7 linked regions of the Coturnix japonica genome follow. The main gene of each other region encodes a partner of the protein of the gene in region 2 in a complex. Links are inferred from orthologs where the notes say so. Each region holds a gene or a part of one and is shown on either strand. Other genes may lie near its edges. The genes, in order: INTS7, INTS4, INTS1, INTS6, INTS12, INTS2 and INTS11.

Region 1 (3,500 bases), on a different chromosome or scaffold from region 2:
CTTTGCTTCTCAGCAGATACCTCATAGGTTTAGATCAGATGTCAGGGTGAAGTTTTTCACAGAGAGGGGTGAGGCTCTGGCACAGCTGCCCAGAGAGGTTGTGGATGTACCAACCCTGGAGGTGTTCAAAGCCAGGTTGAATGGGGGGGCCCTGGGCTGTCTGAGCTGGTGCTTGATCTAGTGGTTGGCAACCCTGGCTGTGACAGGGGGGTTGGAACTCGATGATCCTCTAGGTCCCTTCCAACCCGAGCTGTTCTGTGGTATCTGGTGAAGGAAATGAAAAGCATCAGTAAGTAGTGGGCCATAGTTTTCCATTATGGCTGAACCAGGCTCTATTTTTTAGCTGTGTGTGCATGATTTTTTGCACATAAATGCATACAGTTTCCTACAATACGCAAGTAGTAACGCACTCAGTAAACTCTAATTTGCATCAAAACCTTTCCACCTTGCTTTTAAGCACCATGGACACTCTGATTATACTAGTTAAAAGGAAAAATACACTCTTAAGTATTGCTTCGTAGCTTTTTGTGGTGACTTGGTAGGGGACAGAGTACTGAGACAGTGCTTCTAAAAGCATGCCACCTATAAGAAGGAATTAGTGGGTCTTTGAAGGACAGAGCAGTTTCATTTCCCCTTTAGGGGAGAATGGAGATAGATAAAATCATAGAATGGTCTTAGCTGGAAGGAACTCATTAAGACAATCCGATTCCAACCCTTCTGGGTAGGGTTGCAACCCAGTAGACCAGGCTGCCTGGAGACCTCTCCAACCCAGGTTGTTCAAGTTAGTTTTGTTTTTAACTCAAAAAAATTGTGCTGGTTTGTTGTTGTTTGTTTGTTTTTTGTTATTGTTATTTGTTTTTTTACAGGAAGAATATCTGTTTAAATCATGGGTAATACTTTGTCACTTAGGTGCTTTTTATCCATGGAAAAAACTTTATATATCCTCAAGAGTATGTTTTATTTCTTCAGTGGTGTAGGTTAGTTTAGTGATTTTCTGGACATGGGCTGTTTTTCTTCTGTTATTTTGACTGGTGACATTGTCTCTGTAGATGAAGTTATCAATGGAGGAATTCCGGAACCTGGCTGTGCGTTATGGAGATCTGTATCAGTCATCTTTTGATGCAGACTCAGCGACTCTAAGGAATGTAGAACTGTATCCTTTTAAAAGCTCAGAATTTGTCCTCTTACAGTTTCATCAAGACAGCACGAAGTTAACGGTCCTTTCTCTAGAGAAAGCTAGCAGAGTCATTTTGAAGCAGTTAACTGCTTAAGAAGGTTGCTTAAAACCTGTTTGGAAATGGACATTGCTGTATTATTGTTCAGAATTACTCCATGAGTAAGTTAGGACTTGAAACTTACAGCAGCATAAAATGGGATTTCCATAGTTGTTCTGTTTACCAAAGGAATAGTGATAGGATTACTTCACAAAAGTTAGAGAAATAAGGAAAAGTGCTACTGAATAGTACTGTGTTTCTTGTTTTAGGAACCAAGTTTGTAAATCTCATAACTCCTTAATATTAATATCAGACAACAGCAGAGTTGCCTGTTGATTTCACATGCAATTGAAGCTCTGATTTTGGATCCAGAATCTGCGAAGTAAGTTTTAGAGTTAAATTTCTGCTCCTTTGCTTGTAGTTTCTTAACACGTGGGACTTTAGGAATTTAGGTAATGTTCAGAGAAGCTTTCCTGTGGCCCCTTACAATTCTGTTCTGGCCAGGCTGGACGACCTGTTGGTGCTGTGCTGTAGCTGACAGGCTAACCTGTACTTCAGGTTCTGCTTTATTTACTTACTATGCTCTTGAGAGCTGTACTCCTCTCATCTTAAATACAGACTTGAATTAAAATAAGAAATAACTTTCAATCTGTTGCCATGTATTTTAATGTTTGCCATTCTGTGTTAACTCTCACACTTGTAAGTGGAAGTAGTAGGTACATGTTAGTTTTCTTTGGAGTGTTGGAAATACACGCATGAGATTAGTGTAAGATTTTTAAGGTAAAATAATCGTTTCTGTCTTTTTTGTGTGTGTAAGCTTGTACATATTAGCAAAATCATGTTGAAGCAGCTGTGAATCAAATCATTCTTTAGAGGTCTGATGCTGTGATTAAAGGGAAGATAAACTCGGCTAAGCATCTTTATAATGTGTGATTCTTGTAACTGGGAATAAAACTGGGCATCCCAAATGTCCATCTACTGTTATGAATTAAGCACTATTTTGAAGATGCCTTAATCACATGTTTTCCAATTGTGTCCTTAAAAAAGTTAGGTTTCTGGGGGGTGAACTGCATTCAGAGCATTAGAGTCTAAGATTCCATGTATATTGTGAACTCTGACAGACACTGCCCATTTTTGTTGAGTTGTGAGACTTTTTTGAAGCATTCTAAGTGCTGCTGGCTGAAATAAAATTCCTCAGGGAATTAAGCACACCCGGTCTCTTAGAGCTGCAGTTGCTTCAACTGGGAAAGGATGGGAATGCAAGTGCTGGATAAGCTGGAGTTGAGAAAGGGCTTAAATGTGCGGATCAAGTCTGACTGGGAAAACAATAAATCAAACGGTTTACTCTGTTTATTTCTTAATGAATTTCAAGTTGTAACAGAGGACGGTCTTGTTGGGCATGTTTCGGAGTGAGCCTCTCGGACTGGGATGAGGAAAGTATTTTAGGCACAGCAGAGTGTTTTATTTTCTAGTTTCCAGGAATACAGTTCAAATGGAGCAGCACATGTTGAGAGTGAATATGAAAGGAGAATGATGTCTGTATTTAATCATGTACTGGAAGAAGTGGAATCCCTCAACAGGAAGTATGCTCCTGTGTCTTACTTGGCAAGTAGTAGCTTTACATATATATTCTGTAGATGAAGGTTCTAAAACCTGAGGAAATCTCAGGTGATCGAGCAACTGAAGAGCACATTTCAGTTATTCAGTGTAAGCTATTAGTGAGACAAGGAACTCAGTTCCTAAGGATATACTCTAATACTTGGAAAAAAAAAAAAAAAAAAAATACTTGGAAAAAAAAAAAAAAAAAAAGGTTTTGCTGAAACATCTCTAGCCTTACTGGCCCGATTAAAAATGTGGGTTTTAAAGTTCCTGGTATTGTGAATGTAGCAGGTGCTGATACAGTATTACTTAGTATTACCTAGTCACTGTCAAATCCCTCACTACGGTCACCTTAAAATACTGAAATACTATTTATCCATGTTGTTGTGGTGCAGGAGTTCCACCTGTGGCACACACAGTGCTGGAGGGTCCAGTGCTAGCCCAGCTTGGGTATCTGAGCTGTTGGCAGTTAGTACTGTGTGGCTGGAGTATAGTGTTTCTCTTATCAATACAGGTCATCGGAAACACAATGTAAAGTGTGCTGAATGCAAACAGGGAGCTGATAAGAGTACTCCTTTACAGTCCTAATCTGGTGTTGTCTCTTTCTGTTAGTGAAAATCATAAAGCTGAAGTGCACATTGGTGGAAACAGGGCAGTTCGCTTGTTAGGACTGGTACCTTCTTGCCT
Region 2 (3,500 bases):
CTGCTGCCTTGTATAACTCCAGAGATGGGTACTTCTCAAGGATGACATGTATCCGCCTCATCCTTTATGCTGTGCGCTTTCATCCTGCTAAGCAAACAGCTGACTCACTCCAGAACGTAACGTAACCCCATACAGCCATGTGAATCGTCTGACCTCCCTGCAGAACGATTTTGCTCTACCAGTATTTCTAAGATAGCATTAATTCTTACATCTGCATAGTGAAATATTAACAGTAAACTGGAATCAGATAAAAAAACTATGCTAGCTCCAGAGGTGAAGAATAGAATGTAGAATTCATTTTATACCACGGGACAAGAGCCTTAAAAGATCATTTCAGTGGCATTATTCATTATCAGGTTACATGTGGAAGAACTATCATCAGCTTCAATGCAAAAAGACGCAGAAAGAAGCAATGGGGTTTCTCACCTCTGAAAGGAATCTACTTCCTGAAGGAACTTCTCACACATCCCAAAAAGGGGTTCCACTCTGCAATGAGATCACATTGCTTGATGCAAAAATAACATAAGAAAAGTGGCTCTACAGCCACAAACATTTCAGTTTTGAAATCCAGTTCAAGCTCCTAGAAACTGTAAGACCTTAAAGACAATCTGAGACCACAAATGGATTTCCCACAGGAGAAAGACAAAATGGACTGTCATCATCTTCTCCACACCTGTAACCCCCTCCACAATACATCCCTTGCATTTGCACAAGGCATTAAGTTCCCAGAGCCACTGGTAGAAAACATTAAGCTTTCCACCTATAAAAAAAGATGGAGCTTAAGGAGCTCTATGAAAACACAGCAAATCAATGGCAACAAACATACTTATGTTCTCCTATATGTACTGAAGAAAGAACGCAGCTTTGTTCTTCAGATGGTTATCATCGTGGTGTTTTAAGTGCCTAATTTAGACTTGCTGCTTCTTAAAACACAGCTGGAGGATACGAAGCTTGCAGGTAACCCTTGGCACCACCCTTACCCTCTGGTGGTGCGTGCAGTCACGATGAGCTGTAAGGCTTTTGCTTGCAGTCTCATGTGGTGAATGATGACCACTTGTCTGCTTTCCACACCGCTGTACATGAACTCCATTTTGTACGTTTCTTCCAAGATCTGTCAGACAAACAACACGTGGGTAACAAACCATTCTGGGCTGGAGCACTCACCGACTCCTGCTGGCTGCTCTGGAATACAAACCAAGCAGCACAGCACAGCAGCCCCAGTGGCTCTGCTCAGGTTGTTTCAGAGCTATACTAGACAGAAACAACTTCACATTCAACAACGCTTCATATGCTGCAGATAGAGACGGGAACCATCACAAGATGAGCATCCTCCTGCGTTATTTTTGACACAGTTAAAAGCTTAGACGGCATGCTGCAGTTTTACTTATTATAGCACTGTATCTGCTGAATAGATGGGCTTAAGTAGACAAGAAAAATGCTGAAATGAACACTGCTGCATTCAGTGTAACCACACAGAAGGAAGGACTCTATTTGATAAAGATCCCCTCACCTTACTCTGATGGAAAGTGTTCTACATTCACAATCAAAACAGATAAGCCTTCCCAGCGGGCTCACATACTACTAAGAAAGGCACCCAAGAAAGACAGTTCAATTAGAGAAGATTTAAGAAGCTGATAGGCTTTTGTATCTACTTGTCTCTAGGGACAAGATGTCAACAGCAGAGAAGGGTTTGATGCACAGCAGTAGCTGCCTCTTAATACATTTTAATTAACTGGAGGCTCAAAATGTCAGCATGGCTTCCCAGCAGATCCACAAACTTGCTTTCACCCTAAATCCAGATTATTTAAAGCTCGCTTTCTCATTTCTTTATTTAAAAAAAAGGAAGTGTTTAGCTTTGTTTTTCCAGGATCAGTCAATCAAATGTTAGAGAGCAAGAATAACCTGGCTTGAGTGGGACTTATGGAGCTCATCTACCACTGTCCCTCCTCGAGGCAGGCCTAATTAGCCCAGTTAGCCACGTGTTCTGTGAACAATCCCAAAGATGAAGATTCCCCACTAACAGTCTGGCAAATCCATTTTAGTGCTTACCAATAATCACGACAATTTTTGCTACCTTACATTTACTCAGAATTTCTCGTATTCCAATTTGTATCCATCACTTCTTGTCCCACAGCAGCACATCTAAGAGTCTGTCTTTATGTGATCTATATCCTCAGATAAGGAAGTGGCATAGAGCAGTAAATCAGCCTAGAACCTTCTCCAGGCTGAATAAGCCCAGAGCCCTCAGCTTCTTCTTGCAGGAGAAGTGCTCCACTCCTCAGCCACCCTGAGGGTCCCCTGCTCAATTCACTGCAGTTCAGCAGTACCTTCCTTGCACAGAGACAAGCACAACTCCCCTCTAGATGTGATCTCCCCTACTGACCAGCTCCTCAACTCAGTTTTATCCACAGGGTTGTGAAGGGCACTCTGTTCTCTGTGCCAGTATTTCCAGTGCTTTAAGCCAGGCAGTCTGGCCAATCTTCCATCCATGTTATGATCCACTTACAGATGTGGGATCTTGCCATTTTGGTAATAAGTAATGGGAGATTGTGTTAAAGGGTTTGAAAAAGTCAGGCTTTGTGACATGTCTTATGTCTGCAACACCAGTGCCCTCACTTTGGAAAGCAGTAAGGTTGGTCAGGCATAATTCACCCTTCGAAATGCATTTTGGCTGATCTCAATCACTTCCTTGACCTTCATTTGCTCAAAAATGGCTTTTAAGAGGACTTACTCCATAGAGTTCCCCAGAGGCCAACAGTCCACTGTTCTCCAATCTCCTTTCTTATTATTCTGGAAGATACATGGGATGTTTGCCCTTTTCCTGCAGTCCTAAATCTCCCTCAATCTCCACTTCATTTGATCTTTTGAAGCTGAAAGAAATTGCTTCACTTTGGGGAACTAAGATTTGCTTGGACAGGCTACAGCAGAAAGTCAGAAACACATCAGTACTGCAAGGCCATGGAAATTGGAATCCAAGGACTCGCCTTCAGGTGCTTCAGCCTCACCTGTTTTGCTGCAGCAGATGCTAACGCGTTCTGTTTCAGGTACAAAGGAGCTGCCACGTTCCACAGCTTCTCCTGCAAGGCCTGCAGAAGGAAACCATTAAAAAAAAGGGATGATAAATAACCATTTCTGTCTGAGCGCTCTAACACTGTGCAAGATAAACAGGGCTTGGGAGCATGCCCTCTCTGTTATATGCCAACAGGTTGCCTGAGAGAGCAGGCCAAAGGTTTCTACTTGCTTTTAAACAGTATGGGAAACCACAGCTTACAAACTACACACTGCTATATAAACATCCTACACAGCATTGGGAATAATGTTAACAAAGCTATGAATGAGAGACTGGCTAAGCTGCAAATTCTTCAGTATTTAAGGATAACCGTATGCAGAATATAGTCAGTGATCAGAGAAATTATAACCAATCATCACATCCTTGAGGCTAAGAGCAGGGCATCCTCAGACTGCAGCCATGGAACTGGAATACTGGAAACAATAACTGT
Region 3 (4,219 bases), on a different chromosome or scaffold from region 2:
GGCTTGAGACGAATTTTGATCAGGTTGGAGATAACTTCCATGTCTTCTGAGCTGTGAGTGTTGCAGTTCATACAAACAGACATCAGCAAGTCCTGCGCTGGTTTGGTCAACTGCAGAAGAACAGGAAAACTGCAGCCACTGGCCAACACAGATCAGAAATGTAACTCGCCTTCCTGGCTGAATTTCAAGTCCAGCAGCCTCCATCCTTACCTTTGGATTCTGCAGCCACATTTCCAGCCTTTGCACAGCCATCTGTCGCACCTCTTTGTAGCCACAAGTTGCTGTCAGCAGACGAAGGAGGTTTCTGGACACGTTATCCATGGGCTGGCGCCGGTTGAGTTGATCCCGCAGCATGTCCAGAACATACTCCTCCACACTCTCTGCAAGGTCATCATACCTGGGCCATACAAACTGCATTTTATTCACTTCCTCCCAAGCCGGCTCTGGCATGCTTCACTGTGTCCAGAGATCAGCATTCTTTCTTGTTCACAATAAAGACTACAAAAACAAATCTACTCATTTCTCCTGATACTCAGTGTTCTCTAGCAAGTGTTATGGGACAGCTCCTGCAGAGAGGGAGATCTCTGCCACAGCACTTCAGGAGTGGGTGAGCACAGACAGATCTGTTACATGGAAAGGAAAGCACTTTACCTGGGCATGAGCTGGCCCTCCTGTTCTGGGCTCATTTTCTCCTCTGCAATCAGCAGCTCGCTCTGGCTGTCTTCCTCCTCTGTCATGGAAGGGTGTGGGCTACTTCCTACAAGAGATGAGCACAAAGAAAGAAATCCAAGACCTGCTCTAGAGGACTCCATCAAGTAACACACTGTTCACATCTGCCTTTAAGCCCTTGCCACTGTTTCTAAGACATCCACTTACCAGCACTAATGTCCCCACCACTACGACCAACTTCCCCATGCAAGAGCATGCTCTTAGGAGGCATCTTTGTGTTAAAAGCTGTTTGGATGTTATCCACAAATGTCTTGCAGTGAGGGCTGTCCACCCAGATGCGCTCTCCAAGGGAGTCCTCAATGTAAACCTACAGGAAAGAAAGCAGCAGGAATGCAAACCACATACAACTTGCCCAGCACTGCCACAGCTCAGCAGAAGCATCCTCTGTTCAACAACCTTGACAAAGATCTCCGGCCAGTTCTCATCCTCTTCATAAGCTGCCATGAGAAGGTTGCAGGCCAAGACAGACACAAGGCTATTCCCTTTAGCTTTGAAATTAATAGAGGCATCTCTTCGGAGCAGGCTACACAACGCCTGGAAGATTATATAAAGAGAAAAAAAAGGAATTAAATTACAAACCCCCAAAATCATATAGAAAAGCTTTAGAAAAAGAGCTACAAATCTCAGTAACTTGCCACAGAAGTGCAGCATCTACAAAGGCATGTGAGCTGTGTTCTGGCCAGACAGCAGCTGCGACTATGTGCGTGATGATGTGGCAGGAACCCCAGAATTATACTTCAGAAACATATAATAGGAAACCCAGGAGTCCCCACATAACAGCCCTCACCTCGATAACTCCTTCAGTGGCAAATATATTCGGTTTGATTTTTGCCAGGTACATGAGGCTCAGGTACAGCGTGGGATCAGGTTTGGCTCGGTTCATTTTCAGCTGCTTGGCCGCTCCACACAGCACCCCCTCAATGCGGTCATCGTTACCTTCAGCCTCCGCTGCCTCAATTTCATCCAGCAGCACCGTGGGAACAACTGCAACAACCAACACACAGGAACCAGTTTATACCCTCACGCAAAACAACCTGCCAGGATCAACCTGCCCTGATGTGCTGCAAAGGATCAGCCCCCAGGAAAGCAAAACATGGATCCACACCTTGAATACTGCGCCATCCCTTCCTTCCCCCTTGTAGGTGGGATGTGACAGGACCCCTAATATGTCTATGTCCATAAGACTATGTCCATAAGACTATGTATGTAATATACAAATATGTATGTATGTAACAGGGCAAGGAAGCTGTGAAGGATGTGAAACACAAGGGAGAGGCTAAGAGAACTGGATTGTTCACTCTGGACAAGGCTTGAGGGAGACCTTACTGCTCTCTACAACCACCTGGCAGGTCTTGCACACCTTTAGCCCCTCAGTGATGTTTTCCCCGTTAAGTTTTTCAGACCAGATGAACACAACCCAACACGAACAAGGAAGAAAAGGTGATGAAACTGCGACTTTGCCCCCACATCTATCAGGGGAAAGCCTTAAGGACGGCAGCACTGCACGAGCTTAGAGAAAGGCTCCCGGTAAGCTGAGCCCCAAGGCTGTACCCTGCTCTTACCTTCGATGGGGATGACAGACGGCTCTTTGATGGAGGGTGATATCGCCCGCTTCTCCGCCACAGCCGCCTCAGCCAGCCGTCCCAGCGCGCTGAGCGGCGGCGTGTTGTTCAGCTTGGGCCTCTTGCTCAGCCCGCCCAGCCCCGCGGGGCCCGACAGAGCGGCGGCCGCGTCCCGTTTTCGCTCGGAGGGCAGCCCGGAGGGTGCCGGCTTCAGCAGAGTGACGGCGGCCTTGCCATCCCCGCCCTGCCCCTTGGAGCCCAGAGCGATGAAATCTCCCGGCGGAGGGTGAGCTGCAACGGACGACAACCGTGATGGGGACCGAGATGGTAAACGGGGCAGCCCCCGGCTCGGCCTCTCGGGCGCGGTCTCGCACTCACCGGACGGCTTGGGGGCGGCGCTGGGCCGCCGGACGGCAGCGGCCTTGGGTCGGTTCATGGCACCGCCCAGCGGCAGCACCGACACCGGCACAACGCCCACACACACGGAAACGGAAGGTTCCCCCTGGCGGAAGCGAGGTGAGCTCTACCGCTGCCGGTATCAGAGCGGCCCCTCACTGGGTGTGACATGGCGCCCCCTGGTGGTGGGAGGTCGCGGAGTGGCGGGGGTGGGGGACTGTGTGAGGCGCCGCCCTGCGGGATGAAGTGGAACTGCAGCACGGGGGGAGATGGAGGGGGTGGGGAACAGGGGGACGTGGTGAAGAATAAAGGGGAATTGGGGGTATAAGGGTGAATTATGGGACATAAGGGTGAATTGGGGGACATGGGGTGAATTGGGGGACATAAGGGTGAATTGTGGTATATGAGGGTGAATTGGGGATATAAGGGTGAATTGTGGGACATAAGGGTGAATTTGGAGACATAAGGGTCAATTGTGGTATATAAGGGTGAACTAGGGGGACATAGGGGTGAATTGTGGTATATGAGGGTGAATTTGGGGACATTAGGGAGAATTGTGGTATATAAGGGTGAATTGGGGGACATTAGGGAGAATTGTGGTATATAACGGTGAACTGGGGGACATTAGGGTGAATTGTGGTATATAAGGGTGAACTGGGGGACATAAGAGTGAACTGGAGGGATATAAGGGTGAATTGGGGGATATAAGGGTGAATTATGGGACATAAGGGTGAATTGGGGGACATGGGGTGAATTGGGGGACATAAGGGTGAATTGTGGGACATAAGGGTGAATTTGGAGACATAAGGGTCAATTGTGGTATATAAGGGTGAACTGGGGGACGTAAGAGTGAACTGGGGGGATATAAGGGTGCATTGGGGGACATAAGGGTGAACTGGGGGACATAAGGGTGAACTGGGGGACATTAGGGTGAACTAGGGGGACATAGGGGTGAATTGGGGGACATAAGAGTGAACTGGAGGGATATAAGGGTGAATTGGGGGATATAAGGGTGAACTGTGGGACATAAGGATGAATTTAGGGACATAAGGGATTGGGGAGCATGGTGGAGAACTGCAGAACATGTGCTGACAGAAAGACACTCAGACACCCAACTCTCCACGTGCCTTTATTGCAGATGGGGCCCTCACCCCACACTGATGCCGTAGCATGGAGCCCCCACCCCATCCCACACCCCTTGCAGCAGTGGGTGACAGCAGGTGACAGTCCCTGGTGCCGTGTTACCATCCTGGCCTTGAGGGCTGGAGCAGGAACGTGCACATTGGGTCATGGCAAGGCAGGGCAGCACTGTGCCCACACAGCTCACAGCCACTGCAGGGAGAAGCCCTGGCTGAGCACGAGGCCGAGGCCACTGACGGTGAGGACCTGCAGGACATGAGGGGACAATATGGCTGAGCTGCTCCAGCTCTTATTGCAATGACCTCAACCCTACATATGGCACAAAAGCACCATCCTCCCCCTCCTGCCCCCCATCAATGAGGGCTGGGAGAGGAGGGATGGGCACCCTTAGG
Region 4 (3,952 bases), about 21 Mb from region 2:
TTATATGACACGGGTTTCACATATTTCTTCATTATCAATAGAAACAGTAAAGAGCACGTATTCCATGTATGTATCTGCTATGGTAGATGTTTCAAGAAGATTTGCATTGCTAATGTAACAAAGAAAAATGGCAGAAAATGGGAAAGATTAGTACACAGAAGAGGACAGCAGATGGTAATAGACAAGAAAAACTAGCCATGTGTGGAACTAGCTTTTTTTTCTTTGAAGTTTCATCACCAAACTGGCATTCTAAAAATGTTTAGACTCACTTAATCACCTAGTGGGCAAGCCATACAGTGCAACATGAGATAGACCTCCTTCCTAAACAAACATGGCGTGTTATCATAAACCGCACTCAGACGGGGAAAAGGGAGGGAGAAAACAGGGACTTATTTTCACAGCCACATCCCCATGGTAAATACCAAGAGCAGTAACTAATCCTCAGAGAGCAGATGAAACATTACATGAGAAAAGATACGAAAAGGGGAGATTGACTTTAGCACATCCCACGTGAAAGATACAGGGTATACTTTGCCCAGTACTGGTAACATCTTCTATGCAAAACAAATCCAGGGTCTGATCCAGTGCCACAAAGAATTGGGTATGCTTCTTAAAGTGCATATTTTAACCTAGAGTTAAGGGCTTGTAGCAAGTCATACTACTGAGCAAGGGAACACTGGACCTTCCCAGTAGTAGTTCTGCCTTAAAGGGACAGCTGCCATACAAGCATTTGAAAATCAGAGCTTCCTAAGGTTCTACTATAAACATGAATATGAAAAGAGAGGTATTCAGAGAAGTGTTGAAGTAAACTCACTGGAAAATAACGCTTTAAAAGAGATGTGCTCAGCTTAGCACTTTAGGTGCTTTAGTGCTGTCAGACAAAATAGCCCATCTCCCAAATTGTACGTAACTGATCATACAGCACTATATACAGAAATCAATGTTTTGAAGGCCTCATTGGGCTCATCAGTTAAGGTTCTGGAATTTGTCACCAAAAAAAAACACTACAAAGTTTAACTGAGAAGGTCAACTGCAGCTTACATAGTAGTTTAAAAAGAGAGTAATGAGGAGAATAGGAGGTAATAGCTGGGTACAGAACTGTAGTTAGTACCTACACTTCTTCAGACTGTCTGAACTCTGCTTGCTTTTTATGAAGCCCCTGTATTGAGTGCTTCATGAAGACACTACTTTGGGCAACCACGGGAAACGTGTGTTTTATGATTTTTCCACCTATTACCAGTCAACCTACCTGCCCATAGTTGTCTATGCCAGTTACTAATCTATTTAAGTTTAATAAATCAAAAGCTGTTCTTAGGGACTGGCCAAGAGTTGTAAGTCCTTCAGCCTGAAGGTTTTTCAGTTCATTCATGAACGTCGCATGGTTTTCCTTCCAGCCAGCCTGAAAAGAGAAACGCGAGAAGGCTTATTGGTGGAATGAGCTCGGGACGGGAACCTCCTACGGGATCGGGCTTTTCTGTTGGCTACAGCGTCTCCCTTCAACGCTAAACGAACACCTCGGAAGTTACCAGCATTCAGTAGCATTTCGTAGAGCCTGAAAAGACGGACTGAAAGAGCATGAAATGCTCTGCGTTCATCGAGTATTTCTTACAAGGGACGAAGCCACACACACTAAGAATCCTACACACCGGGCTCACGACCCCACAGAGGCGATGCCCAGCGGGTTCACCCCCCATACCCCCCCGCGTCCCGCAGCCCCCGCCCCGGAGGGTTCTCCCCTCCCTCCCCTTCCCCGCCGAACTCTCCTCGGAGTTGCTGTCACTTCTCCCAAGTTGAGCACACCTCCCCCACAGTTCCTGCCGCTCACACACACACACCACACGGGGGATATATAAAAAAAAATGTCGGCCATGTTGATGTCAGCGCCGCCGCCGCCGCTGCCCGAAGCCGTGCGTGCGCGGCGCCGCGCGGCCCGGCCCGACTGAAGGGGCGGTGCGGCGGGGCAGGAAGGAGGGCCGGGGGGCGGCGGTGGAGGGAGGGGGGAGCGGGGTTACCTTGATGGCGTAGGGAGGCTCCTCGAAAGTGACCAGCATGTACCTGTCGCCGCGGCTGGCCGGGTCCCGGGCCCGCAGCTGCGGCGCGGGGACAAAGCGGAGGGTGAGGCGAGAGGAGGTGCCGGATCTCCCCCCTCCAGGCGCGGCACTGCCCTCCCCTCCCTCCCCGACCCCCCTCCCGGTCTCTCCCGCAGCCCCCGCGCCCCCGGCCCGCAGCCCCCCGCCGCCCCCTCCCCATCTCGCTCGCTTTCGCCTCCTCTCGCCAGGCAGCGCCGGTACCTTCATGAAAGTCTCTACAGCGCCTTTGGCTATGTCCAGATAGCTGGTGCCGAGGTACGCCCGCTGGTTCATGGAGGCGGACGTGTCTATCAGGAAGAGTAAGATGGGCATAGTGCGGAGGGGCCGGCGGCCGGGCGGCTACATGGACAGCGGGCGGGAGGGAGACGGGAGAGCAGGGGGAGGAGGAGGAGGAGGAGGAGAGGCAGCCGGGGTCGGGAGAGGAGCGAGTGGCTGTGAGTGCTGTGCACGGGAAGGGCCTCCCGCTGCCCCTCTGCCGAGGCGGGGGAAGGGGGCAGCGCTGCCTGCCCTGCCCTCCTTTGTGTGAGGGGCCTGCCCAGCCCGGCACGGGCCGGGTGCTGCGGGAGCGGCGGGGAGGGCTGCGCTGCTGCTAACCTTCCCCCCCGCCACCACCGTCCTCCTCCACCGCCGCCCTCCCTCCCCTCCCCCTGTTGATGTTACTCAGAAGTTTCAGGCGGACCGGCCGCAGCCCGCCCACCCCGCCACTTTCTCTCTCTGACTGAGGCGCTTCCTCGCTCGCCGCCCGCTTTTAAGGGCGCCTGGGCAGGTCGGGACACGCCCCCTTAGGACACGTCCCCGCCCCACGTGACCGCCTCCCGGCCCCGCCATAGGGCTTCGGTAGGCCGCTCATTAGCATATTCAAATCGCCGGGGGAGGGCGGGGTTGGGGGGGATGGAGCCGCTGTGGGAGAGGGTGGGGGGGAGCGGCGCCGCCGCGCATGCGCAGTGGAGGTGGGGTGAGGGGCGGCGGGGTGACTCCATATCAGCCCCGTATCAGCCCACAGCCCCTCGAGGCCGCCGTTCTGCCGTACCCCGTGGCGTTGCTTAGCGCTCATCGCCTCCCGAGGCGTGTAGGGCGGTGCTCTCCTGATTTTGGAGGGCATTGGTGGGGTCCTAAAGGCGTTCAGAGCCACGGACCGCCCCGCTGGCTGTGAGGGGACACCGCGAGGCCGGGCTGGTTGTGTGGTGAATTCCCATAGAGCCGCTCTGCAGTTTCACTTGGTGTGAAAAAAAAAAAAAGATTAAAAAAAAACAAACGGGCTGCCCTTAACTGTGACCTTTTCCCTACGCGCAGGCAGAGATTAACACTGCTGTGTCCCTTTGATCCGTGCTCAGGCACTCCGAATTTACTATAAATCACATCGTTGTGGAGTCTTTCCAGCCAATTAATGCTGAAGATTGAGCTCTCCGTCCTTTGGAGGTTTCTGTTTGTTTTTCCCCACAATTGTGTCTGTGCTGTTCCTGCTCTCCCAGCCTTGGAGCGCTGACTCCAGAGCCATTTCTTAGCATTATCTGTTCAGGAGATTGTGCTGCTTCCTTTCTGGCTGATGTTTTCCCCTGATCCAGCTGATGTGCTCCCACAGCCGTTCTCTAGAAGGTACGAAGCCACTGTACTTCTTAAGATAAAATTGGCAGCGTCCTGGTTTGAATCATTTCATTCTTCCAGGCAACATTTCTGTCTTGTTAGGCAAGAGCTGTTTTGGGCTTCTTTTTTTTTTTTTTTCTTTTTTAAAGACTAATGAAGATTAGCATTTAGTTTCTAGGAAGGTTGGAAAGACAGAGGTGGAATCACATTTTCATTACAGGTGTGTCCTTGTGCCTGTGAATAGATATTTTGCCTTTCCTACTGGCACCTGTGACCTG
Region 5 (4,011 bases), on a different chromosome or scaffold from region 2:
TCCATTCCCTAACAACTGTGACAGTGGAAGATTTCAAGTATTTACCAATACTGCCCATTCCAGATGACTCACATTTAATGCAGGTCTTGATGAAACAGATCAAGGAAAGCAGGAAAAGCTTCTATTTTCAGTTTTTACTTTCGTATCATACTGAGGATTTGATTCATGACAACAATTTCACAGTTATCGCCTGTGAGGAATATTTCAAAACTCAGGCACTTTAGCAGTCCCGACAACTGTATTAATCAGAACAACTGTATTCATCAGTTCTTATTTATGTGACAACTTGATGTGAAATTCAAAGAATTCCAGGAGACCTGAGTAAATTCTTCCATTATAATTACTAACGTGACTATCCATAACTTTATATTCTATCCTACAACATATTTTATACCATAATTTCCAATCAATAATTCAATCTATCACAGTAACTTGCTTATCTAACATTTCTACATTACCCTATCACCTTCTATTTTCTGCTTTCTATCACTCATAAACAACATAGTATCCAACAACCAGAATACCATGGTTTTGGCTGGGATATAGTTAATTTTCTTCACGGTGACTCACCACGTCCTGTGTTTTTGATTATTTTCAAAATGGAAATAGTACTGACAAGTGATGCTTTAGCTGTTGATGAGCAGTGCTGTGCAGAGCTGAGGACATCTCAGCTCCTGATGCTGCCCTGCCTGGAGGGGGCTGGAGGAGTACAGGGAGCTGTGAGGGGACAGAACCAGGACTGCTGGCCCAGACCAGCCAGAGGGATGGCTCGTACCATATGGTATCCTGCTCAGCAATGAAAACTGGGAGACAAGAAGAGGAAGAGCAGATGACATTCTGAGAGATGGAGTTTGCCTTCCCAAGAAACTGTTATGTGTGATGACCTCTGCTTTCCTGGAAGTGACTGAACATCTGCTGCCCAGGAAGGCTGTGGATGCCCCTGTCCCTGCAGGTGTTCAAGGCCAGGTTGGATGGCCCTGGACAACCTGATCTAGTAAATGTGTATGTTTGGTGGCCCTGCCAGGCAGGGGGGTTGGAACTACATGATCCTTGAGGTCCCTTCCAACCCAGGCCATTCTGTGATTCTGTGATCTGCCTGCCAATGGGAAGTAGCAAAGGAATTTCTTGTTGTTTGCACATGCAGATTTTGCTTTACCGAGTAAACCATACTAACCATAAAAGAGAAGTTCTCATACTTCTAAGTTTCTTATTTTCTCCCCCATCCAACATGCAGAGAGCAAACAAGTGGCTACGTGGTGCTGAGCTGCCTGCTGCATTACACCACAATACACTGGCATTTTGTTTCTAAGAGACCTCCTGCTCAAAGCAAAAAGAAAAAAATCAGCTATGAATTCAGACAAGATTTCCGAGGACACCATCCAGATGGACCTTCAAAACATACACAGACAGGGATCTCACTGTCTCCTTTCACTTCTTTATTCCAAATTGGATCCTCCCTTTTCAGATTGTGCTTTCACATAAAAGGAAATACAGGCTTCATTTTATCAATAATCTCCTGTTAGATACAGAAAGGCGTCTATTTAGGACACAGCAAGACCCTCCTCAGATGATATTCTCCACTCCTCCCCTCAACTTCAGAGCTAGTTATTTTGCCATAAAGGATAATCCAGTTGACCAGACATGACTGACCCTTGGTAGATTCCCAAGCTGGTTATCCCCAGTCAACACGTGCTCCTGCCCATGCTGTGCTGGCTCCCTTCATAACCTTCCCATGGATGCAAGGAGGGAGGCTAACCAGTCTGCACTTCCCTGGATAGTCCTTCCTGCCTCTTTTGAGGAGGGATATGTAAGACATGTAGTCTGCCTTTTTCTAGCCCCCAGTGATTTCTCCCAGCCTCATGACTTCTCATAGACAAAAGCAAGGGGCTTCACAATGGTACACCAGAACACAGTCCATCCAGGTCAATGGATTACCAGGCAATCAACCCATGCTTCAGCCCTCTTCTGCATCTTCTCCTTGTTGCAGAAACAGAGGGCTCACTGATGAGCTCTGAGGGAAACTAATTGTCTTAGAATCAGTGGAAACAGTTATTTTCCTTCACAGTACCTGATATGATGCTATGTTTTAGCTTTAGAGGGAGCTGGAAGGGGACAGAACCAGAACAGCCGACCTCAAATGACCCAAATGGATATTCCACAGCAGGCAAGTTTGAAAAAGGTGGGAGTTCTTCAGGCTTGCTGCTGCTGCTTGGAAACTAGCACAGCATCGATTGGTACGTGGTGAGCAATTTGTTTGTGCATTGCTTGTTTTTTTACATACATATATATATACACACACAGTCTTATATACGTACTTATAGTTGTAACTATTATCCTTTTATCTTTCCTCCCCCTCACCTCACCCCCAGCCCACCTCCTCCTCACACCACAGCTGCCTGTTTAACTGAGCCCTGTTCCCGTTGTACCACATATTAACTCACACCGGGGCCACCCGCCGGCCCCACTCAGACAGCGGGTACGGCCGCTTCCAGCTCCGCCGTGGGAGGACACACAGGCGCCCACAACGCCCACCCTCAGGGCCGGGGACGACACCGCGACACCCCCCGAAGCTCCCGCCACGCTCTCACCTGAGGAGAGACGGTAATACCCGCCGCTCAGAGCCCTCAGCCGGTACACAGCCCCCGTTCCGGCTCGCTCCGCGGGCGGGAGGGCGGAGCGCTGCGCGGCTGGGGCGGAGCCGGGCGGGACGCGCATGGGCACACGGTAAGAGGCGGAGCCGGGGAGGAAGCGGCCGGGACGTATCGTGCGCGGGGTCGGGTAAGTGGTGAGGAGCGACCGAGGGAGGGAGAAATGGATCTCGATCGATCAGCGCTGGTGGAGACCGGGCGCTGTTTATCGGCCCGCGCGGCGGTGGGCGGGGCGGGAGGTGTGTGAGGGAGAGCGCGGGATCGGCGGCCTTGGGGGTTCGCCCCTCGGTGCTGCTTCCTCACACGGGCTCACACCGAAGGCAAACCGTGTTATTTATCTTTAAGTGATGTTGCAAAACCTGTGGTGTTCATTATTTATGTTCAGCTGATTTCTCCCTTCCCTTCTTTTAGCAGTGGTTACTATTAATAAGGCCAGTGTAGGATAGAAACCCTCACAGAATGCAGGCTAAGCAGAGAAGGACGAGTGCCAGGAAAGGTGTTGTGATTAAATGGGTGCACAATGTTTTTGTTAGTTCCATTCTTTATTATCACAGAACAGCAGCGTTTGGAGGAGACCTCAAGAGACCATCAAGTCCAACCCTCTGCTAAGTAGGTTCCCTACAATAAACTGCACAGATTGGTGTCCAGACAGGTCTTGAATATCTCTGTGGAAGGAAACAAGCTGTCAGGAGGAAATTTTTAAAGCAAAATATGGAAGAGGAGTGTGATGTGGCAGTGTGAGAGTACAGCTCTCTGAAGTGAGAGAAGGCCATGAGTATATTCTCACAAGAAATAATTTAAGGAAACACAAGTCATCTATAGACTGGTCCCAGATAGCTTTATTTTGCTTTATGTCCTGTGGGAGGCTAATATTAATACAGTTGAGCCAAATCTTGCTGCACTGACTGGATTTCAGAAGCAGGTGGTGTGTCATTTGTTCACTGTCTGTCTGAGAATGGAGAAGACAATTTCCTAGATAAGTGTTTGGAGTAGTCAGTGAATGATCTTTTTGTGACAAAGAGGTTTGTGATGTCTAGTAAGAGATTAGTATTTCTTATGTGTTTACTCCATGTGTTGCGAGCTCTGCGGTTGTGGTGAAACCAAGTCTAGACTTGACTTATTCAGGTTGCCATTTGGCTTTTGAAATTACATAGCTGTGAACAAAGTTAACTTAATTGCTACTTTTTGGCCATCTGAAATATCTTATGTGGAAAAAAAAAAAAAGTATATTGTGTAGCTGGAGAAAAAGCAGCAAGTTAAATGGGGCTTTAAGGAATGGATAGATGGAAGAAGAGGGTGGCTATTGTCATTTATACCTAGGACTGATCTGGCAAAGTGGAAGGAAAAACAAATCAGGCTGATA
Region 6 (4,146 bases), on a different chromosome or scaffold from region 2:
TTACTCAATGACTGCCTCACCTGTTGGCCATTTCGGATAAAAGTTCCAAACCAAGTTCGAACTTTGGCATTTGTTCCTAGTAGCAAACCGCTCACAAAACACACCAGGTCGCTCACTCCATCATCTGAAGATTCATTTTTGGTGTGATCCAATGTCAAAGCCACACCAAGACCTGGTAGATGGCACTCTTCCACCTAGATGAAAAGTCCCCATTAATCACCTTTGTTGTTTGCAACATTCCAATGAGGACCCCAACGAAGCCTCAGATCTTGTCTCACAACAGATGTGTGTCGGACTCACCACCATGCCTCGCACCCTCAGAGCCTGGGAAGGGTTCATCTTACAGAGGTGACGCAGCGCTTCTGTCCTGCGACGGCCTCCAACGCTTTCCTCATCTTGCCGTTCTCCGTTCTTAATCAAACCTCTACAGACTGAACAACCAACAGGAGGTGTAACTTAACCTCATCTTTCCAATAGAAAGCCACAAACACACAGAGCCAAAACGTTCTGCTCAGCTCACTGTGATCTATCAGCTGGATTGCGCCAAATAGCAATCAACACTGAGTAAAAAGAACAAGGAAACAGTCTTTCCTTTCTTCTCTAAGAATGCTTACAGATTTATGCATCACCCAATCACTGCTTACACTCTACGTAATGCAAGCCGTGCATCTGGCAGCACTGGAGAATGAAACCTTATTGTGTGGTAATAGATAGTATGCAGGCATTGTCACTGCAGATGTTTCACCTTGTAGTATGGCTCAGTCTGAGGGGCAGTACTAACAGCAAGGCTACAACAGGTTCATAATTCCAATAGCAGCTGTTGGAATCAGCCTTTAGAAAACTGGCCTAAAAACAGGAATGCTCACACAGTGATAACTACAATTAGGCTGTAAAAAGGGGGATGGACATACTGAGAAGGAAAGATCCATCAATATCCCAGTTCTAATACCTACAATAAATAACAGCCCAGAATCAACGTTATTACAGATCTCCAGAAAAAGTAAGTTATACAAGGAGAAACCACAGCTCACCCTCATTGAAGCTATCAGGAACATTGGCCACCAGCAGGCAGAGGAACCAGGCTCCATTCTTCACATGCAGCAGCGCTTCGGCTACATCAACTATAGGCAACAGCGATGGCAGCTCTGGACAAAGAGAGTTCTCACAGTTAGAAAGTTTCACTACAAAACAAATACAAACGTGCTCAAAAGTAGGAAGGTAAACAAATGTGTCAGTCTGTGGTTTATTCCCCTTTCAAAGAGAAAGAGAGCCTCGATTAATAGTAAAATCAGCAGCTCAGAAAGAAGGTTTTTGTGTTGGTTTTTTTTTGACGTTTCTAAGGAGTTATAGATACGAAAGCAAAGCAGCATTAATGAACATGGTACCACAGGGCGCTGTACCTGCTTGCAAGATGCAGAGAACATCCGCTGCCTCCTCCAGGTAGACGGGGCTCTCAAAGAGCTCAGAAGACTTGAGAAAAAACTCCCCATTTGATTCTGACACCTACGAGACATTTCACATCAGCAAACAGCACCCAGAAGTTTGTCTGATCAGACTTCCACAGCACTGACTTCAATAGATACAACATATCAAAGTTACCCAGAATGGACAGTTCCAATCACACAATGGTCGAGATGAATGTTTAAGTAATTAATGTTTACAAGAAGTACTCCAATAAAACCAGCATTATTGTTTCTTTCCAGCTGAAAAACAACTCTAGAAATACAGGAAGTTTGCACAGGGAAAATAAAATGCAGGCAGCAAAAATAAGAGGAATGCGTTGGTTAACACCACACTGCAGTAAAACTGGTGAATAAGACAGAAACAAGAGGCAGAATTTCATTTTCAGGTTTGGTTTCTGCACTGAAAGCTCACAAAATCCCATTTGAATAAAGAGATCACGAGATACGCTGAGTTTGGGTCATATCAGAAAAGACTATCCGTGTTTGTTCTGAGGAAGAAATGTTTCCTCTAAGGAAATCTGAAACTTCAAACTGAATCTTTCAACCTTGGGGAAGCGGATAAGAACCAGATTCACACTGACACAACAGCAGCAGTAACTGCAGCCTGCAGGCTCCTCACTTCGCTACCAGGAAACCCAGCGCTGCCTGGAGCTGCAGACACACACAGACACATACAGACACATACAGACACCATGTTCATTCATTCACACACGCACACGCACCTTGTTCATGATGGCCAGCAGTTCGCTGAGCACCAGCCGGAGCCGTCGGGGTGAATCGCTGTGCTCGAACTCCAGCGTCAGCCCGTGCTGCAGCTGCGACACCAGGACGCTTTCCCCGCTGCCTCCTCCCAACTTGTGCCTGCCGGACAACGAAACACAGCGATGCCATTTCATTCAAATTACGGCCATTGCAGCAGGGATTTCTTGTACAGCATCGTAACCGTACGGTACAAAGCCATAATTAACATAAAGCTGTGGGAAAGCGGCCCCGTGACCGCCGTTACCGGAGCTGCTGCTCTTTGCTGGCGTCCTGCTCCAGCGCGTGGAAGTCGACGGACAGCAGAGCCACGATGGAGTTGACGGCCTCCACCCCCGAGAGGAGCCGCAGGATGAGCTTCTTGTCCTGGGCCCAGCTCTGGCTCTGGTCCGCGGGGGCGCACAGGGCCATGCGAACCAGGCAGGGGAGCAGCAGCCGCAGCTCGGGGTCGCTGAGCGCGGCCAGACGCACCACGTCCACCTTCTGCATCGCCTCGAAGGCGAACGGGCTGACAGACTGCAGCCCCGAGCACTCCGCCATGGCGGCCCCACCACCACGCCCACTGCGGCGCGCGGTGATGACGTTAAGGGCGGACGCGGTGCGGGCGGGCAGGCTGGGCGTGGGGTGTAGGCCGCAACCAGGCCCTGCTCCCCACAAGGAGGAGGAGATCACGCAATTAATCAGGGCTTTATGAGCAATTTATTCCATCGCAATTCTTTTCTGCCTTTAAAAAGTATCAACCTTCTTTCCTTCCCCCCCCCATCCCGAGACAAACCTGCCCTGGGAGCGACCAGCGCTGCACCAACAACCCTTAATAGAGCGCATGAGGAGCGCAGCAGTAAATATCCCATCATATAAATTAAATACAGCCCATACACAGCAATGAATGACTAAAATCCAGCAGCCCCTGAAGGATGAAGCGCAGCCCTTCAAAGCAGGAAGAAGGCGTTGGTTAGAGCTGTGATACAGCACCGTGCCCCTATCACTGCAGTGCTGCAGCAAAGCAGCTGGGCAATCAGACTTTAACACACATCTTACTGTCATTGAAAGCTTTAAAATAACACAACTACATTGATGGCACAGCGTTAACAAACACAGCAGCCCATCTTCATAGCAACACGTGAAGTTAAAATTACCATTGGAGGTAAATATAGCGATAGAGCGATGTGGGCCACGCTGACAGCTAAGGAGGAACGTGCTGAGGGTTGAAATATCGATTCATTTTTAACTATTTAAGTAAACAACAAAGATCGACACGTGAGAGCTGCTTTAGAAGGGAAGCAGTGCTGACAAATAGTGGTGGCTGCAGGACACACTGTGTGCTCAGAACTGACCCAGGCAGCAACAAGACAGACATTACTACATGACCATTACTGTGTGACCAGATTCCTGTTGATCTCAATTTAAATACCTATTTTCAATTGGAATGGAAGGAGATCTCAGCTCCATTGGATTCATTGGATACATAGGAGGGGAAATTCCACATCTACTCAATAGAGCGCTGCCAGAACTACATGTTTTCTCAAAACCACTTTAAGAAGCCAGAGATGAGGCTTTCAAATATTTAAGATTGCACTTTCTAAAGAACCCGAGTTATTGGCTCACAATGGCTTTATTTATAAATCAGCAATTATGTGCACTTAAAAGAATGAAAGTAACTAATGGAAAGGTATGTTCAATGGAGTAGTTGCTCTATGGCATTGGCAGTTTTGATACGTACACCTCCGGCTTTGACTCGCTTCAGAAACAGCCCTCATCATTTTTTTAGTGATTACAGTATTAAATTAATTATCATTTAACTGCACTGGAGAGGGAAGGGGATCATGTGGGAAACTGGCAGCTTTTGCAATTGGAGAGCTTCATGGGGAATGTTATGGCCCAGGTAACAGAATGGGGCTGTATCACGATTTAGGCAGCTGATTCA
Region 7 (4,166 bases), on a different chromosome or scaffold from region 2:
GATGCCATTGAACTATTTAATGGACAGCTGGTACTGAGTGCTTGGGGAAGGAGGAGAGAATGATCCTAGAAAGGAACATGTTTAGTTTAGTTTCTTAGATTTAGAAACGCTGATAAATAAACGATACATGGAAAGAATCACTTCTCACATAGCACCATGGGCCAAAGTGCAGAGCAAAACTAAGGAGAGTATTTGTACCAAACAGATAGAAAAGAATCATAGAAACCTTGAGGACATGAAGAGGATGAGGAACATGAACCAGAGACTGCACTCACCAGAACGTTTCCAATAAAATGCAAAGCTCCTGGGCACGACCAAGGGCAAAAACTGGGATAAGAACCTGCAACAGAGCCATGATTTAGGCTGTGAAACCTGAACAGCACATAGAGAGCACTGCAGCATTACCACTGCTGAATAAGAGCTTCGTAGAGAGCAAAGAACACATCAGTGATCATCAGAGTGCCGTACCTTCCCTCCTCGTTCTACAGTCTCATGCACTTTCTTCAGGAAGTCTCTTTCTCTGCAGCGTTTGGAGTCTCTGATAGTTGTGGCATAGGTAGATTCTGTTATTAATAAATCGGGGCGACACTTATCAATCCAGGCAGCACTGAAACAAAAGGATTTCTTTTTAAAGTCATCAAATTAAGAGCCAGTATCCATCACTTCTCTGCAGGTCTCGGCTGCAGAAGGTCACTATCTCTGTGTGGAGGTAGGAATTAACCCAGCTCAGAATAGAGACCAACTCAGTGGACTTTGAAAAGCAGCTTTTCAGTCTGTTATTTGTTTAAAATACTTTCTTCAATGCTTTGTAAGCATCACAAACATTAAAAACCTCTCATATATGCCAGTAAAAAAGTAAAGCAGCGTTAAAGGTGGTGACTGGCACTCTCTTAAAAAGCAAATGCTTGTGGAAGATACCACAACAATGAAGCATTTCAAACACCTAAATCCAATTACCACGCAGCCATACAAATGGATTAATATGAGTACAGAGAAGATTATGTTAAGGTCTGTTCTGAGGACTCGATTTACCTCTGATCCTCCTCAAAATTCACACTTGCATTTATCTTTGCTGGAAAGACATCATTAAGCATCCCAGTCTCCCATCAAAGAACAAAGAACCAATGCTGGTAAGCCTTGGTATATGAGCAGAAGCTGTGGTAAAATCACCCTGCTTGAAATAGATACAATTCAGAGGAGCCCAGCCTTCCTACTTACCCTAAATGTCTGTCTGGTGTCATGTTATAATCACCCTAAGGGAGGAAGGGAAATCCGTTTATTTTCTCAAGCTAATGGAACAGGCTATTAGAAGGAAACATAAGCATATGTAACTACTGCTGTGCATACTTACAGTGTACACAACTGACTCACATCCAACCTTGATTTGGAACATGGCTGCTCCCAGCACGTGGCCTGCATAGTATGCCTTGATCTCCAGCTCTTCATCCACCTGAACACAAGCAAACACCATGGTAAGCACTTCACAAACAGAAAACTGCTCTGCCTTCCTCAACAGTTCAGTAGCTCCCATCCAAGCAGAAGCATTCATTTACCTGAACTGTCTGGTGAAGATGCACAGCCACCACCTTTTTCATACAGTCTTTAATCATTTGGGACGTGAAGAAGTTTGTTTCTCCTTTTTTATCTACAGTTATTTTCCTGTAGTCCTCCAGGAGGATGGGACAGATGGCCTTGGTAGGATGCGTCATATAAATGGGCCCATCGTAGCCGACCATCTCACTGAAATAGGGGAGGGCTCCACAATGGTCCAGATGGAAGTGGCTGCGAAAGAGACAGAAAGGATGAAGACATTACACAGCAGCTTAGATAACCTGGTTCTCACAGCTTGATTCACCTCTTCAAAGCACTCCACAAAATAGAACTTTTCCCTTTAGAAACAAAACTTGCTTTGATTTCCCATCTCTGTTGTGATCAGGAAGGAAGCTTTCTTACCTGATGATCACACAGTCTAGAAAGTCAGTCAGCCTCCCATTCTGAGTAATGTAGGAAAAGTCAGGAAAGCGTCTCTGCAAAGAGGTGGAAAACGGGTTAACAACCTCAAACAAAGCTACTTAGTACCATGTCATTAACTATATGGACCAGCAGCACGAACCACCTGCTACACTGGACACTGTAAACCCATCTCAAGGCAAAACTGGGGAGACTGTGGGAGCAACACAGCAAGAACTACAGGCAACGCAATGGACACCTACATAAAGAGTCAAAAGGATGAGCTGCCCTATAAAGACAGGCTGAGGGAGCAGGGCTTGTTCAGCCTAGAGAAAGATGCAAGGAGAGGCCTTCAACGTTTAAAAGGGGATTATAAAAAGGAGAAGAATCAACTTTTTGCTTGGGTAGATAGCGATAAGGCAGGAGGAATGGCTTTAAGCTTGAGGAGGGAAGCTTTATATCGGATGCTAAGGGGAAGTTCTCCATAGAGAGAGAGGTGCAGGAACAGCTGGGGATTCTATGAGAGAACAACCCAACCGTGTGTCACACTCACATCATCGTTGTATCCCATATGCATCCCACAGTCCAGCATCACATTCTTCCCCGCGATGGACACCAGGATACAGCTTCGCCCCACATCCTGCCCGGCACCTACAGGAACCCAATAGAACACCATAGTGAGGCGACCCAGCCCCTTTCTGAGGCTCCACAACGCTCCGATCCACCACTTACCGAGCGGTGTCACCTTGATTTCAGGCATTTTAAACCTCTTTCAACTCAAAGCTCGGAAGGGAGCAGCCGTTCCTTTAACGGCCATATTGCAACGGCTCGTCACTCTGAGGTAGATCCCGCCCTTCCCTTTAGCGCATGGGAGGCGCCTCCCGCCGACAAGATGGCGGCGGCGCAGGGAGCGTTCAGCCTGAGGGAGGTGATGGCCGCCTTCCAGAGCTGCGTGACGGAGCAGCGCGAGGTGCTGCTCGGCCCGTATCTCCGCGGATGGAGGGGGCTCGTACGGTGAGTTTTCTGGGCTCCCCAGTACAAAAAAAAGACAGGGATCTCTTGGAAAGAGGAGCCACTAAGATGGCTAAGATCTCCCCTGTGAGGAGAGACTTTGGGAACTGGGTCTGTTTAGCCTTGAGAAAAGAAGGCTGAGAGGGGATTAGATCCAGGTTTATAAATACCTGAGGGGTGGGGGACATAGTGGTGAGGCTGGTCTCTTTTTAGTAGTGTGTAGGGATAGGACTAGGGGTAATGGGATGAAATACAGCATAGAAGTTCCTTAATAAGAACTTCTTTACGGTGAGGGTGACGGAGCACTGGAACAGGCTGCACAGAGAGGTGGTGGAGTCTCCTTCTCTGGAGATATTCAAGATCTGCCTGGACACTTTCCTGTGTGACCTGCTGTAGGGAACCTGCTTTAGCAGGGGGGTTGGACTCGATGATCTCTAGAGGTCCCTTCCAACCCCTACAATTCTGTGATTCTGTGATGGGAGGGGAGGTTGCCCCTCGAGGATGCTGCTTTGTGTTATACCGCTCCGTTTATCCCCTTTTCAGCTTCCTCAACGGGCTGGGCGCCATCTTCTCGTTCATCTCTAAGGACGCGGTGACTAAAATCCAGATTATGGAGAGTTATTGCGGCGGGGAGAAGAAGGAGGAATACCGTACAATGCAATCTATGGTGCGCTATGAGCTCAACGGAGGGCTGGTCGACTTGGAACAGCGCTCAGCCCACCCCAATTCAGGCTGTAGGACCGTCCTACGGCTGCACCGGGCATTGCATTGGTTGCAGCTCTTCCTCGAAGGGCTTCGCACCGCCCAGCAGGACGCCAGCACTTCCACCATCTGCACGGACAGCTACAACGCCTCGTTGGCCGCTTACCATCCCTGGATCGTCCGTAAGGCCGCTACCTTGGCCTTTTGTACCCTGCCATCCCGCGATGCCTTCCTAGAGGTGATGAATGTAGGCGGCCCCGAGGAGGCTGTGGAGATGCTGGGTGATGCTCTGCCCCATATCCGAGATGTGTACGGCATCACTGAGGAGCTGTATGCACAGCACCGCCTGCTGGACCTGCCCTGAGTCCATCCCCCAGCTCCTTGTACCCCCATAAAGCTGATGGAGCTCAGTGACTAAAAGAAAATGCACTAAAATACATACATTGCCATATATATAGCATCATCTCAGCACTGCAGGGAGTTTAAGTGTCCACAAGCACACT

Evidence for each region.
Region 1: the proteins of INTS4 (region 2) and INTS7 are in contact, whole or in part, in a cryo-EM structure (PDB 8RC4), measured with the Homo sapiens proteins. The link is inferred for Coturnix japonica from reciprocal best matches to the Homo sapiens genes INTS4 and INTS7. Residues at the interface, in NP_291025.3 of Homo sapiens: Glu536, Met539, Asp540, Arg571, His572, Ala574, Tyr575, Asp578, Ser579, Ser610, Phe613, Arg620, Leu624, Leu627, Gly631, Glu634, Leu635, Phe638, Arg641, Asp642, Arg645, Leu646, Glu648, Leu649, Gln650, Lys677, Leu678, Trp679, Asn680, Val681; in NP_056249.1 of Homo sapiens: Lys137, Asn138, His140, His141, Arg144, Gln145, Gly175, His205, His206, Asp207, Ala208, Ser244, Ser245, Leu246, Val247, Lys282, Thr283, Pro284, His285, Thr286, Thr321, Ile322, Lys325, His326, Gly686, Tyr689, Glu704, Gln707, Gln708, Leu711.
Region 3: INTS4 (region 2) and INTS1 share a complex: the UniProt entries of both Homo sapiens proteins name them as parts of the integrator complex. The link is inferred for Coturnix japonica from reciprocal best matches to the Homo sapiens genes INTS4 and INTS1.
Region 4: INTS4 (region 2) and INTS6 share a complex: the UniProt entries of both Homo sapiens proteins name them as parts of the integrator complex. The link is inferred for Coturnix japonica from reciprocal best matches to the Homo sapiens genes INTS4 and INTS6.
Region 5: INTS4 (region 2) and INTS12 share a complex: the UniProt entries of both Homo sapiens proteins name them as parts of the integrator complex. The link is inferred for Coturnix japonica from reciprocal best matches to the Homo sapiens genes INTS4 and INTS12.
Region 6: INTS4 (region 2) and INTS2 share a complex: the UniProt entries of both Homo sapiens proteins name them as parts of the integrator complex. The link is inferred for Coturnix japonica from reciprocal best matches to the Homo sapiens genes INTS4 and INTS2.
Region 7: the proteins of INTS4 (region 2) and INTS11 are in contact, whole or in part, in a cryo-EM structure (PDB 7BFP), measured with the Homo sapiens proteins. The link is inferred for Coturnix japonica from reciprocal best matches to the Homo sapiens genes INTS4 and INTS11. Residues at the interface, in NP_291025.3 of Homo sapiens: Leu159, Asp161, Thr162, Arg167, Tyr203, Gln207, Asp244, Ser292, Gly294, Trp296, Arg299, Lys323, Met326, Ser327, Asp328; in NP_060341.2 of Homo sapiens: Pro183, Trp191, Lys194, Asp212, Gln288, Gln400, Gln404, Lys462, Met465, Ala466, Leu469.

The regions. Positions count from the first base shown.
Region 1 is NC_029518.1:19,466,274-19,469,773, forward strand, and holds part of INTS7 (integrator complex subunit 7), read left to right. Parts: intron 1-1,049; coding exon 1,050-1,153; intron 1,154-1,527; coding exon 1,528-1,596; intron 1,597-2,686; coding exon 2,687-2,819; intron 2,820-3,500. UniProt on the Homo sapiens protein: Component of the integrator complex, a multiprotein complex that terminates RNA polymerase II (Pol II) transcription in the promoter-proximal region of genes.
Region 2 is NC_029516.1:172,699,846-172,703,345, reverse strand, and holds part of INTS4 (integrator complex subunit 4), read right to left. Parts: intron 3,087-3,500; coding exon 3,006-3,086; intron 1,112-3,005; coding exon 981-1,111; intron 487-980; coding exon 427-486; intron 1-426. UniProt on the Homo sapiens protein: Component of the integrator complex, a multiprotein complex that terminates RNA polymerase II (Pol II) transcription in the promoter-proximal region of genes.
Region 3 is NC_029529.1:2,677,159-2,681,377, forward strand, and holds the start of INTS1 (integrator complex subunit 1), read right to left. Parts: upstream 2,801-4,219; 5' UTR 2,728-2,800; coding exon 2,292-2,727; intron 1,714-2,291; coding exon 1,517-1,713; intron 1,264-1,516; coding exon 1,126-1,263; intron 1,037-1,125; coding exon 877-1,036; intron 758-876; coding exon 652-757; intron 398-651; coding exon 211-397; intron 111-210; coding exon 1-110. Other genes in the region: lysosomal alpha-glucosidase, read right to left, coding at 4,011-4,073. UniProt on the Homo sapiens protein: Component of the integrator complex, a multiprotein complex that terminates RNA polymerase II (Pol II) transcription in the promoter-proximal region of genes.
Region 4 is NC_029516.1:152,175,915-152,179,866, forward strand, and holds the start of INTS6 (integrator complex subunit 6), read right to left. Parts: upstream 2,801-3,952; 5' UTR 2,403-2,800; coding exon 2,292-2,402; intron 2,091-2,291; coding exon 2,013-2,090; intron 1,400-2,012; coding exon 1,250-1,399; intron 1-1,249. UniProt on the Homo sapiens protein: Component of the integrator complex, a multiprotein complex that terminates RNA polymerase II (Pol II) transcription in the promoter-proximal region of genes.
Region 5 is NC_029519.1:34,243,870-34,247,880, reverse strand, and holds the start of INTS12 (integrator complex subunit 12), read right to left. Parts: upstream 2,801-4,011; 5' UTR 2,716-2,800; coding exon 2,589-2,715; intron 1,292-2,588; exon of another isoform or gene 1,175-1,291; intron 178-1,174; exon of another isoform or gene 73-177; intron 1-72. UniProt on the Homo sapiens protein: Component of the integrator complex, a multiprotein complex that terminates RNA polymerase II (Pol II) transcription in the promoter-proximal region of genes.
Region 6 is NC_029534.1:6,219,743-6,223,888, reverse strand, and holds the start of INTS2 (integrator complex subunit 2), read right to left. Parts: upstream 2,801-4,146; 5' UTR 2,763-2,800; coding exon 2,470-2,762; intron 2,325-2,469; coding exon 2,186-2,324; intron 1,504-2,185; coding exon 1,401-1,503; intron 1,146-1,400; coding exon 1,032-1,145; intron 432-1,031; coding exon 301-431; intron 195-300; coding exon 21-194; intron 1-20. UniProt on the Homo sapiens protein: Component of the integrator complex, a multiprotein complex that terminates RNA polymerase II (Pol II) transcription in the promoter-proximal region of genes.
Region 7 is NC_029536.1:1,973,058-1,977,223, reverse strand, and holds the start of INTS11 (integrator complex subunit 11), read right to left. Parts: upstream 2,801-4,166; 5' UTR 2,711-2,800; coding exon 2,683-2,710; intron 2,602-2,682; coding exon 2,504-2,601; intron 2,028-2,503; coding exon 1,954-2,027; intron 1,783-1,953; coding exon 1,554-1,782; intron 1,451-1,553; coding exon 1,352-1,450; intron 1,254-1,351; coding exon 1,219-1,253; intron 608-1,218; coding exon 469-607; intron 341-468; coding exon 276-340; intron 1-275. Other genes in the region: CPTP (ceramide-1-phosphate transfer protein), read left to right, coding at 2,843-2,964, 3,505-4,027.